Linked DNA regions of Arabidopsis thaliana. The protein of the gene in region 3 interacts with the protein of the main gene of each other region in a pairwise test. Each region holds a gene or a part of one and is shown on either strand. Other genes may lie near its edges.

The links. The genes of interacting proteins can lie anywhere in the genome.
Region 1: the proteins of MYB54 (region 3) and AT2G20350 interact in binary tests that used the Arabidopsis thaliana proteins (3 or more experiments, as listed by UniProt).
Region 2: the proteins of MYB54 (region 3) and RGL3 interact in binary tests that used the Arabidopsis thaliana proteins (3 or more experiments, as listed by UniProt).

Annotation. Positions count from the first base shown.
Region 1 is NC_003071.7:8,782,930-8,785,996, reverse strand, and holds AT2G20350 (Integrase-type DNA-binding superfamily protein), read right to left. Parts: upstream 1,229-3,067; coding exon 943-1,228; intron 792-942; coding exon 601-791; 3' UTR 550-600; downstream 1-549.
Region 2 is NC_003076.8:5,763,440-5,767,900, reverse strand, and holds RGL3 (RGA-like protein 3), read left to right. Parts: upstream 1-1,654; 5' UTR 1,655-2,013; coding exon 2,014-3,585; 3' UTR 3,586-3,912; downstream 3,913-4,461. Other genes in the region: AT5G17500 (Glycosyl hydrolase superfamily protein), read right to left, coding at 118-522. UniProt on the Arabidopsis thaliana protein: Probable transcriptional regulator that acts as a repressor of the gibberellin (GA) signaling pathway. No effect of the BOI proteins on its stability.
Region 3 is NC_003070.9:27,599,771-27,603,832, reverse strand, and holds MYB54 (myb domain protein 54), read right to left. Parts: upstream 2,241-4,062; 5' UTR 1,982-2,240; coding exon 1,861-1,981; intron 1,750-1,860; coding exon 1,318-1,749; coding exon of another isoform or gene 1,259-1,317; exon of another isoform or gene 974-1,258; coding exon 795-973; 3' UTR 516-794; downstream 1-515. Other genes in the region: AT1G73400 (Pentatricopeptide repeat (PPR) superfamily protein), read right to left, coding at 4,021-4,062. UniProt on the Arabidopsis thaliana protein: Transcription factor that regulates secondary cell wall (SCW) biosynthesis, especially in interfascicular and xylary fibers.

The DNA of each region.
Region 1 (3,067 bases), on a different chromosome or scaffold from region 3:
AATGGAATACAAGAATTTGCTGCCTCGAGGATACAAGCAAATGGGCCTGGGCCTTGACAATATCTCATTGGCGACGATAAGTAACACCTTTAAAATGAAACCACGTCACTTTGTGTTGGTCCGTATTACGTAAGCCCATTTATTAGTGAAACGGCACCGTATGACAAATATTACTATTGGATTACCTTTCTTGTTAATCAAAGTTTAAAGTTATCATAAATATCATAACAACTTGATTGATTTTTATATATGCTTACAATTGTGTTTGCTTGTATATTATCTCATGATATATATAATACGTCTAACTATAAAATATAGACTTTTCTTGTCATTGGTCACAATAAACCCAAACCAAATAGATTATAAAAAAAAAAAAAAACACACACACACACACAATTGAAAGACAAAAAATGAAGTAAGATACATAAAAACACACTCACAGTCACGACTGAACTTGATAAGTCTTGCGTTAGCAATATTTTGTTTTACTTTATTTTATTACCAAACAAAATAACGTTTTTACTTTTCAAAAAAATTCTGATTTACTTGTGAAGCAAGTAAGATGCCTCTTCCTGCCTTTCTATACGTGCTCCTTCTCCGTTAATTTTTCTCAGTCGTCTTCTTGGTAGATGCTTCCTCTCCGTTCTTTGTGCCACGTCTTGCTGATCTTCTTCCGACAAACTCAGCCGCCGCATCGTTGTAAGCCTTAGCCGCCATCTCCGCTGTTGGAAACGTTCCAAGCCATCTCCTTACTTTCAAACTCGGATCCCATATCTCCGCCGCCCATTTACCTGATGGTTTATGAAAGTACATCAACTGCATGCTAACGTATTGGAACATAGTTTACCTCATGGGCTCGTGGCTTATATATATATGAAAATACATGAACTAAAACTAGCTAGTACTAGAAAAACTCAAAGCTTGTATTAGAATAGAACTTACCTGATGGTTTTTTCCTCACTCCTTTGTGCTTCTTCTCCTTCTTAATTATCGCCTCGTGTCGTGGGAAGACGCAACCGTAGCAGCCGGTGACACTACAAAGAGGACAAGGGCCAGCGTTCAAAGGTGGAAGATCAGCTTCCCATGCATTCGAGTTCGTGTCACCTCCGACGTTGGATATTACTTGTTGCAAAGCAGAGACCATGATCACATGTTCTTGATCTCTCGTCAAATTAGGAGTGAAATTGATGTTTTGATCGTAAGAGGGAACATTTTCTGAATTTTCCATTTCCGCGGAGTCGTTGAACTGAAAATAATTCGTTGCTCACGGTCACTGAGAAGTGTTGAAAGTGTTGTGAAGATTTCAAAAGAAACTACTGACGAGTAAGCAAAAAAAGGTTTATATGGTACTAGACTACTAGACATATGGTCCCATGCAAATCTTTAGATACGCGGCACCAATTAGTGTTGTTTTTTTCCTTTGAGAACGATACATCTGTTCAGTAGATATTTATTTTCTGCAAAAGCGATTGCTATATTTATTCGATACACTACTTACTAATTATTATTAGTCTTGACACCGAGTAAACCAAATATACTTCTTAGTCAAGATATTTTCAACTACCTTATTTAAGTCAAAATACAGTTGGATCCTATTATATAATGGTTTATTTTGTAATCTGGACTGCAAATATACACATTTTTTTAGTGTTTAAAAGTTGAGTTTCATTCGTAACAATTGGATAGGTGTAATTTCATTGTTTTAAAAATCATTTTATATTTTGCAATACTTTTTCATAGGTTAATACGATGGTTGTATACTTGTATGTATCAGTCCTTGGATTAATTTTGCCCAATGACATTCTATCTATAATACTTTGTTCTATCCTTTTTGCTCTTTTTTTTTTCTATCTTATATATCTAATCTACTCTTTTGATTTAGCATTACATTGTGCAACGCTATACAAAATGGAACCATATGTTTTCGAGCTTTTTGAAATATTTTTGGGGGTTATTTCTGTTCTGTTAAGATATATTTCATTTGCAGTGCTGGTTTTGGTTTCTGTACAAACAGTGAGTCAATAATTAAGGAAACAAGGTACTCATATTCCAGTGCTTTAAGTCTTTATTCATATACCAAGTTGTTATGAGAGTCTCCCTTTGAATATCCCCGGTCATCACTTTCATATTTTGTATTTTTTTTCTTTGATTTAATTATATACAGTTCAAGACAAATTTAGTTAACTAAAATGAGACAGTTAATTGCTTTCAATTTCATGTTTCACTGATGATAACGTAAACAGAATAATGAGTAAAACAAAGTAAAAATGCAGAGAACCGAAACAGAGTATTCCTATTACGATAATTTGATATAACGTTCATAAAACGCGATATCAACTTCTCACCTACAAGAGTCTCGACGAAAGAGCTTCGGTAAAACGATGAGGGAAATCTAGAAGTCTCTAGAAATAAAATACAACCAGATTATTCGCATAAGAAAGCATGAACATAACATGTTGCTTTTTATACTAAAAGGTAAAGAAAGTAAACGTTAATAATGATCACCGTCAATGTCAAGTTGCCAGCTCAAAACACACACGTGCATTCCTTTTTGCTCTTGACTTCACATGTGTGATCTTGACTTTCTAGAATACTATATCATTGACTAAATAAGAAACCAACACAAAAAGAGTTTTCGAAGCGGAATACACAGATTGGACTCGGATACGAGGATACGACAAAAAACAAGAAACCCTACAAATTACTATTGATGAGGTTCTTTGTATATATAGTGGTTGTTGCATACCATCATCTCCTTTTCGTTTCTATATATCATAAACTTTCTTTATGTCTCAAATAAAAGCTCTGTATGGTATTGGTCTTCTTGAGCAAGTCATTTATAGATGACAAAATATTCATGCTTTGTTCTTAGCGATTTCTGTATCGATCGCTTCAATTTTACCTATGAAATTGTTTATACAAGATTTTTTTTTTTAAAAAAGCAACCAAGCGGTAGTGGTTTTCACTGAGGAGAAATTTTTTGTAGGTTTAATATATGGATCGAATCATTTCAAACGTAAAATTTACTAAATTATTCCAGTTAATCCGTCGAACCCCACTAGAAAAC
Region 2 (4,461 bases), on a different chromosome or scaffold from region 3:
CACAAATGACTTATTTAAAAACCATGGATTTTTAATTGAACATGAAAAGAATAGTTTTTGTTTGAGTTGAAGAAATTATGTAATACTAGAATCACATGATTAATTATGTATTTATACCTGAAAGACATTGATGAGAGGAGTATTGACAATGTATGGATTGTGAGTGTAAATCCCTTGAAGCTCATGATCCAATCCATATCTCTCAAATGATTGTTTCACGGTAACATTAAAGGCTAAAGTGTCATTAATCATTAATTCAAGTGGCCAAGTGAGCCTAACACAATTGAATCCCATGTCTTTTATCTTTTTCGATATTGAATCCATTGGCTGGCTGCTCAGCCCCTCTGCTACCACTGGCTTGAGGTGCGAAGGCCAGTTCGCGCAAGCTAGCTTCACGCGGTGGCCCTTGTTGTTTACGATCCATCGAGACTTTGTGAATAGTGGATAATCTGTTGCTAGGGTTAGAGATATTAATGACAAGAATAAGAACAAAAAGACAGTTAAAGCGATTGCTTTTGCCATGCTTATTTCGTTGTGACTGTGTTTTAGGAAGATCATTAAGTATATATAGAGAGTGAAATCAAGGGTTTTTGTCACAATGATAGGGGATTTGTTGAGTTTCTTTTGTAAGATAATTGACTAAATATTTCAGGGTTGGTTACTTAGTTTGATGATAGGTTTCAAAATGTAAATAAATGAGATATTTACGGAACATTGTGGATAAATATCTTCTTACCACACGTTTTGGATAGTGTAGTTTTTTTTATTGTTCGAATAATTAAGAGGATAATTAGTCAATGGATCATCCGCCTAAAATGTCGAGAAAGTAACTTGGGTAACATTTCAAAACGTATCCGGCCATTAAATAGTCTCGTCATTTATTTGTTTCCCTCAAAATTGCCAATATATCAACGAACGAAGGGTAATATACTAATATATTTAGCTTGTGTATTCATTCGCTAAGTCATATAAAATTACTCGAAACTTTATTTTATACAGGATTATACATTATTTTCACAAAACGGAAAATAATAAGCCATTTGTACTTAGACCAACAAACTAATTCAAGAGTGAAATCTATTTTTATGTTCAGTTCTACTCTATTATAAAAATCTTCTATATATGTAACTATCATGTTTAAAATGATGTTTTTGGTATGGGGAATAAAATTCAATTTACACACATAAAGAAATGAAAACATAATAATAATAAGAAAGCAACGTAATGTTGTAGACGTCTGATACCTAATGTCGACTGCCGCCACATGTCGACCGTGAGGTTGGTCACGTTGTCTCCCTAACTGCAATACTTTGAGCTGTACTTCTATCGGGACCTCTATTTTCTTCTCAAACTTTTTTAAAAATTAGTATTATTTTATACCATTTCGGCAAACAAATTATTAGGAGATAGTATCATTTAAAAAAATAAATATCAAATTTTGTCAGTAAAATTATTACAGTATGTCACGTTAACTAGTTAAAATTTTGTTATAGAAACAAGATACTTGAAGAAAACGGGCTGTTACTTTCGGAGTTTACAAGTTCCATTTCTCGAGAAGAACTATTTGGGTTATCAATATAGGTCATATGATATGACTAATATCTACTGCAGCACCCAATTTAATAATTCTAGAAACTCTAAATTCAACATTTAGTGGGTATTAAAAAATAGTTTAATAGACTATGACAGTCCATTGGACCATTAAACAAAAACTACACGCCCTTATCAGAGCGACGAATTTTTTGTAACTTGGATCAGAAATTCAATAAAGTTATAGTAATAAAAATGAAATAATTTGGAAAAGAAAGAATAGAGAAGAAAACACATGCGAAATTATAATGGCCTGCCTCTCTTCCTTCTTATCTCTTTTACTTACACTCTCCAGGTCCCTCACTTCCCTCATTGGACCTCTCTAACTCTCCTCTCTTACCTTCTCCTGTTTAAATTCTTCTCCTTTCTTTCCACAATTTCTGTCTAACCAATTCCAACACCAAAAAATTCCATTTCTTGACGATGAAACGAAGCCATCAAGAAACGTCTGTAGAAGAAGAAGCTCCTTCAATGGTGGAGAAGTTAGAAAATGGTTGTGGTGGTGGTGGAGACGATAACATGGACGAGTTTCTTGCTGTTTTGGGTTACAAGGTTCGATCTTCAGACATGGCAGATGTTGCACAGAAGCTTGAACAGCTTGAAATGGTCTTGTCCAATGATATTGCCTCTTCTAGTAATGCCTTCAATGACACCGTTCATTACAATCCTTCTGATCTCTCCGGTTGGGCTCAGAGCATGCTCTCGGATCTTAATTACTACCCGGATCTTGACCCGAACCGGATTTGCGATCTGAGACCAATCACAGACGACGATGAGTGTTGCAGTAGCAATAGTAACAGCAACAAGAGGATTCGACTCGGTCCTTGGTGTGACTCAGTGACCAGCGAGTCAACTCGTTCCGTGGTGCTTATCGAGGAGACAGGAGTTAGACTCGTTCAGGCGCTAGTGGCCTGCGCCGAGGCGGTTCAGCTGGAGAATCTGAGCCTCGCGGATGCTCTCGTCAAGCGCGTGGGATTACTCGCGGCTTCTCAAGCCGGAGCCATGGGGAAAGTCGCTACCTACTTCGCCGAAGCCCTAGCTCGTCGAATTTACCGGATTCATCCTTCCGCCGCCGCCATTGATCCTTCCTTCGAAGAGATTCTTCAGATGAACTTCTACGACTCGTGTCCCTACCTGAAATTCGCTCATTTCACGGCCAATCAGGCGATTCTAGAAGCTGTTACGACGTCGCGTGTCGTACACGTAATCGATCTAGGGCTTAATCAAGGTATGCAATGGCCGGCGTTAATGCAAGCCTTAGCTCTCCGACCCGGTGGTCCACCGTCGTTTCGTCTCACCGGCGTTGGGAATCCGTCGAATCGAGAAGGGATTCAAGAGTTAGGTTGGAAGCTAGCTCAGCTGGCTCAAGCCATCGGCGTCGAATTCAAATTCAATGGTCTAACGACGGAGAGGTTATCCGATTTAGAACCGGATATGTTCGAGACCCGAACCGAATCGGAGACTCTAGTGGTTAATTCGGTTTTCGAGCTTCACCCGGTTTTATCCCAACCCGGTTCGATCGAAAAGCTGTTAGCGACGGTTAAGGCGGTTAAACCGGGTCTCGTAACAGTGGTGGAACAAGAAGCGAACCATAACGGTGACGTTTTCTTAGACCGGTTTAACGAAGCGCTTCACTATTACTCGAGCTTGTTCGACTCGCTCGAAGATGGTGTTGTGATACCGAGTCAAGACCGAGTCATGTCGGAGGTTTACTTAGGGAGACAGATATTGAACTTGGTGGCGACGGAAGGAAGCGATAGGATCGAGCGACACGAGACGCTGGCTCAGTGGCGAAAACGTATGGGATCCGCCGGGTTTGACCCGGTTAACCTCGGATCAGACGCGTTTAAGCAAGCGAGTTTGCTATTGGCGTTATCTGGCGGTGGAGATGGATACAGAGTGGAGGAGAACGACGGAAGCCTAATGCTTGCGTGGCAAACGAAACCTCTAATCGCTGCATCGGCGTGGAAACTAGCGGCGGAGTTGCGGCGGTAGATACGTCGTCATAAAGAGGAGAAGAAAAAAGACTTAGCGAACGTGACCTTATGTTTTTATTTTACTTTAACTTACCCCAGTAGTTTCGTTTTGTGACAATTTCGCCCGAAATATTCCGTGCCTTATACTTTTGGGACCCAGTTGGTTCGTTGGTCGTGGAGATTCGAGAACGAGGAACATGTGTGTATGTAACAACAGCACGAGCAAGTGTTTTCATAGTTTGAATAAATATGAAAGAAATGACGTTTATTTTATTTTTTGTCAACGAATTGACGTTACGTTTAATTTCACCCAAAATATATACAAAATGACGCATGAATGAATTTGGACCGACTCGATTATTACATAGAGGCTAACGTTTCTGGGAGATGATGATGATGATAGAAGTAAAGAAGCTAAACCTCACTTGAGTCTTTTTATTCTGAAAAGCCGGAGTCCAAACTCTACTTTTGGGTTTTTTGAGAGGTTTTCATTGTCAGCTTTTGATCAAGTGGGTGAAACCGTTTTGCTTAGGAATGTGTAAAAGAAAACTTGATATTTACTACTAATTTTATCACCACTTTTGAAAAATACATGTATTCATAGAAAGATATGATAAAGTTGGACCACATTCTCATTCTCTAAACTCACTTTAAACATGGCAATGTTTAAATATCCTCAAGTCTTGGAACATCTTCAGACTTACCATTTCTTGATTTTACCCGTAACAACACTTCAATATCTGAGTAGTCAAGACTAAACAATCCGAACAATATCAGCTTTTGATTTTATATAAATATAACTATATAAGACTTCCTAACAAAGAGGAACATGAGTCCCACAGCCACAGCATGTCGTAATCGATGGATGAGACGGCTGTGTAGGCATAGTTATTGG
Region 3 (4,062 bases):
AAGGAAAAGAGGGAACTACAGCAAGGTATGCACGAGGAAGAAGAAGAAGAAGAAGAAGAAGAAGAAGAAGAAGAAGAAGAAGAAGAGTGAAGGAAAAGAGAGAAAAAGGCCATTGGGCCCAGAGGTGAACAAGGCCCAATTAAGGGTGGGTCTTGGTTATTAACAAATTTCTAATTAGATTAAGTACAAGAACTACATAATGGTTGTGTTGTTGTAAGAAAACGATTAAGGAAAGTAAGAAGTAAAAAGAGTTTTCCAACACCTTTTGCTTCTTCATCAAACATTGGATTTTTTTCATGTTATAATCTCAACGATATAAGATTTCAACTGTACATATATACTTTCAAATTTTGATAATATTGTGGCCTCTCGAGGTCGAGTTCATGATCGGGTTATGCATAAACAATTGAACGGTGATTTGTTTGAACGTTGAATAAATATGATACAAATTTAATAAGAAACAAACTAGCAATTAATCGTTATATATATATAATTAAATTGTTGGTAACAGAATTAAACATTTAAACATGTTATTCATCTCATTCAAGACAAATTAAACAAATACATTCAAACGGATAACTTTGATAGTTAACAACTCGATGGAAATTTTACAGACATTGAGAATGTGTGATACATCAACATTATGTATTTTTCTTACAATTTTCGCAGGTAATAGCTCACTAGTTAGTGATTATACACATCAAGCATACATGCTAACGACCTAGATAATCTCGTACGTATACGGACTAAATAGTTAATCTAGAAATTTAGGAGTTACTGCAAAAAAACTAATCCTAGGAGGCAGAGTTTCCAACGGATAAAAAGTCGAAGAATGGAACATGACTTTCATGTTTGGTGTCCGAGTCACTGCGTTTGCTTTGACCTGAATCTTGATCTATAATCTCGCTCTTGTTTGAATCTGTGTTTACTTGTAGAAAATTGTAGAACTCCATAGGCTTTTTACTCTGATTTGCTGCGATCCAAACGATAAAAGAAGGACGAAATTATAAGCTATGTGGATTGCAACTATGTTAAATATATAGAGATGACTTCATGTAATGACGGAAACAATATATGATGATGAGTACAAGAAAAAACATGCAACTAATTTTGTCACATAATTTTGAAGTTCATTAGAAAAATGATTATGCAAATGAAAAAGTCGGCTAAACTCTTTGAAAAGTAAAAAAATTCGGCTAAACTTCATTTCAAAATTTTGGAACATATATACCTTTTTCATCAATAATCCGTGCAAGACTCATATACATGCAAACACATCTATAGAAAATGGATCCTTCTCCATCATTTTGAGTTTACCTTTGTGATTTAAAGCGATCTTTCCGGTGAAAAACTCCTTTAGGAAGTGAAGATGATTGATATGAGAGAATTTGTAAGGGAAATTTATAAAGTCTGCTGGAAATATTTTCTTCCGATCATCGGAACTATAATTATGATTATAACCACCAGAACTCATCATGATTTGTTCACTCGCCATTAAAGAAGAAGACGAAGTCGTCGAGGGAAGAAGACGAGGCTTAGAGGTTTGGCGTGTGCGACGAGCCATGATGACGTGCCAATGGTTCTTGACGGCGTTATCAGTTCTTCCAGGGAAAAGCCTTGCGATGATGGACCATCTGTTCCCATGGATCCGATGAGCCGCTAAAAGTCTTTCTTCTTCTTCTTCCGTGAAAGGGTTTCGGTTGATCCTTGGATCCAATTGATTAAACCATCTCAATCTACAACTCTTACCTGCATATATACACCAATACAATTAATTCATATGTATATATATATCAAAGTATCAAAATTAACCCTAGCTAGTTTTGTATATATGGACAAACCCTAGAAGATATCAATTACCAGAGCGACCAGGAAGCTTGAGAGCAATGGCGTTCCAATTGTGAGGACCGTATTGTTCGACAAGATCCTTGAGCTTCTCGTCTTCAGCTGGTCTCCAATGGCCTCGGCTGCACATGATCATTTTTCTTCTTCACGCCGATCTATTTAATTACGTAATTAACTAAGTATACCGATCCAAACCAATACAAGAACAAAGAAAAAGAAAAACACACAGATTCTATATCAATAACGCACGCAAAAAATTTGTTGTGTTCATGTATTTTATGTACATATATAAGAAATTAAAACCCTAAGTTTTTTTTTTCTTGGGAAAAGGTTGGGGAAGATGGGTATGTGGGAACAAGAAGAAAGCTGAAGAGCACCTGCACGTATATATATACATAGTCTATATTATTGCGAGTATATATATAATATACATTTTATGTCTTCTTCTTTTTTTTCGTCTAATATACATTTTATGTCTTTACCAAAAGAAAATATATATATATATATATATATATACATTTTATATGATGAAAATTAAAATAAAATAAAACAAAATCCGTTAGAGAGTCGGGAGGGTTTGGACGGACCTCTCTACCGGCGACTGATGCCAACGTCTTCCCTAACCAACAAAACACCCCCTTCTACGTAATCTACCTTTTTCTTTCCTTTATTTTACAACTAGGATTTTATTTAGTTATAATAATTATAGAATATATAATATCGTAGAAAATAAGAGCATAGACTAGAGATTGCTTGGTGTGGGCAGGATTTCGTTAGCCTCTCAACGTCTCTTCGTATAGTATTAATTTAAGGTTTGTTGTTTCTAAGTTCTAACCTACACCCGCTACTTCAAGCCACCAATACTCATCTACGTTTCTGTAATCTTGGCAAGCTACGTATTCACATATAATAAATATCGATATCCTACACTGACAAAAATTTATTTCATGTATCAAATATCGTCCATAATAATTAAAGATAAATATTTTCAGACCTAATCAACGTTTTTTCTAAGCCTTAATTAGGAATATATCGTCCAAAGTGGAGACAATACAACTAACTTTTTCTTTGCAATTTTACAATGGGTATTTTCTTATAAACTGTAAATAAAATAGAAGGTGTATACAATTGAATCAAGTGATGAAATATATTAGCAAAAATTTTATTCTCATGTGGTCAATCATTTTAGTCGTAAACAAATAAAAAAGGTGGTCAAATATTTGGTCTCCAAGCACGTCTCTCTTGTCCAAAACGGAACTTTATAGGTTTCGGACATTCAGGACTAAAAACAGAATCAGTTACATTGAATGTTCCGTGGGACTAATTAGAACATTTCTTCAAAAAAAAAAAATCTGTAAGCAAAAACCAAAATAATTGCTGGTAAAGTTTAGTAGGAAAATAAAATAAAACAGAGAGTTAGTTGGGAAAGAAAGCCAATAATCAACTTCATTTGTTCTATCGGTAGTTAGGAGAGAAGCCTTCTTCAGTTTCGACTTTCGAACCTATCATAACTAAACTTAACCTATTTTCGTCGCAAAATGACCTATTTCAACTAAACCGGATCCTGATTACACTAAACCGGTCAAATATTATATACCAGTGGGCTTTTTATTTTACAACTGTATGGGTACTTCATCACCAAAGGCTGACAGACCAACTGTGTCATGTCTTTAGACTTCTTCAGCAAGAGTTCCTGAGACTTGAACCTGTTACCAGAACTGAACGATGAACCGACACTGTTCTAGCATCATAATGTTTCAAGAATCTCACATCAAACTCGAGAATCAGAGAGCAAGAGCAGAAGATAAACCATAATAGTCATGAACCATAAGGAAAACAAGCCTCTCACATTGCTAAGGATCATACAAAGTTCGGCTCTATCTCTATGTATGCAATGGTCAATACAATGACTTTAAACGAACACGTTAAACATATTGTGAGCTGTGAGAGCCTTTTCAAAGAAACCAACATAACCATTAGACAATAGACCTGGATAGGTATCTTTGCTTTCGAAACCATGCTTATTGGTCCAGAATTAGAGAGACTGTGATGGATGAAATTTCACCAGGGATCATAGTCACGAAGAGCTCCTCTCTAGGCAACAGAATCATCGCACCACTGAAAATGGTTCTTTGTTTTAGTATGATGATATGGTCCAACAGTTTTCAGTTCACATTACTTCCCTCTGAGTTTTGTACTCTTTCTCTTCTCACTGAG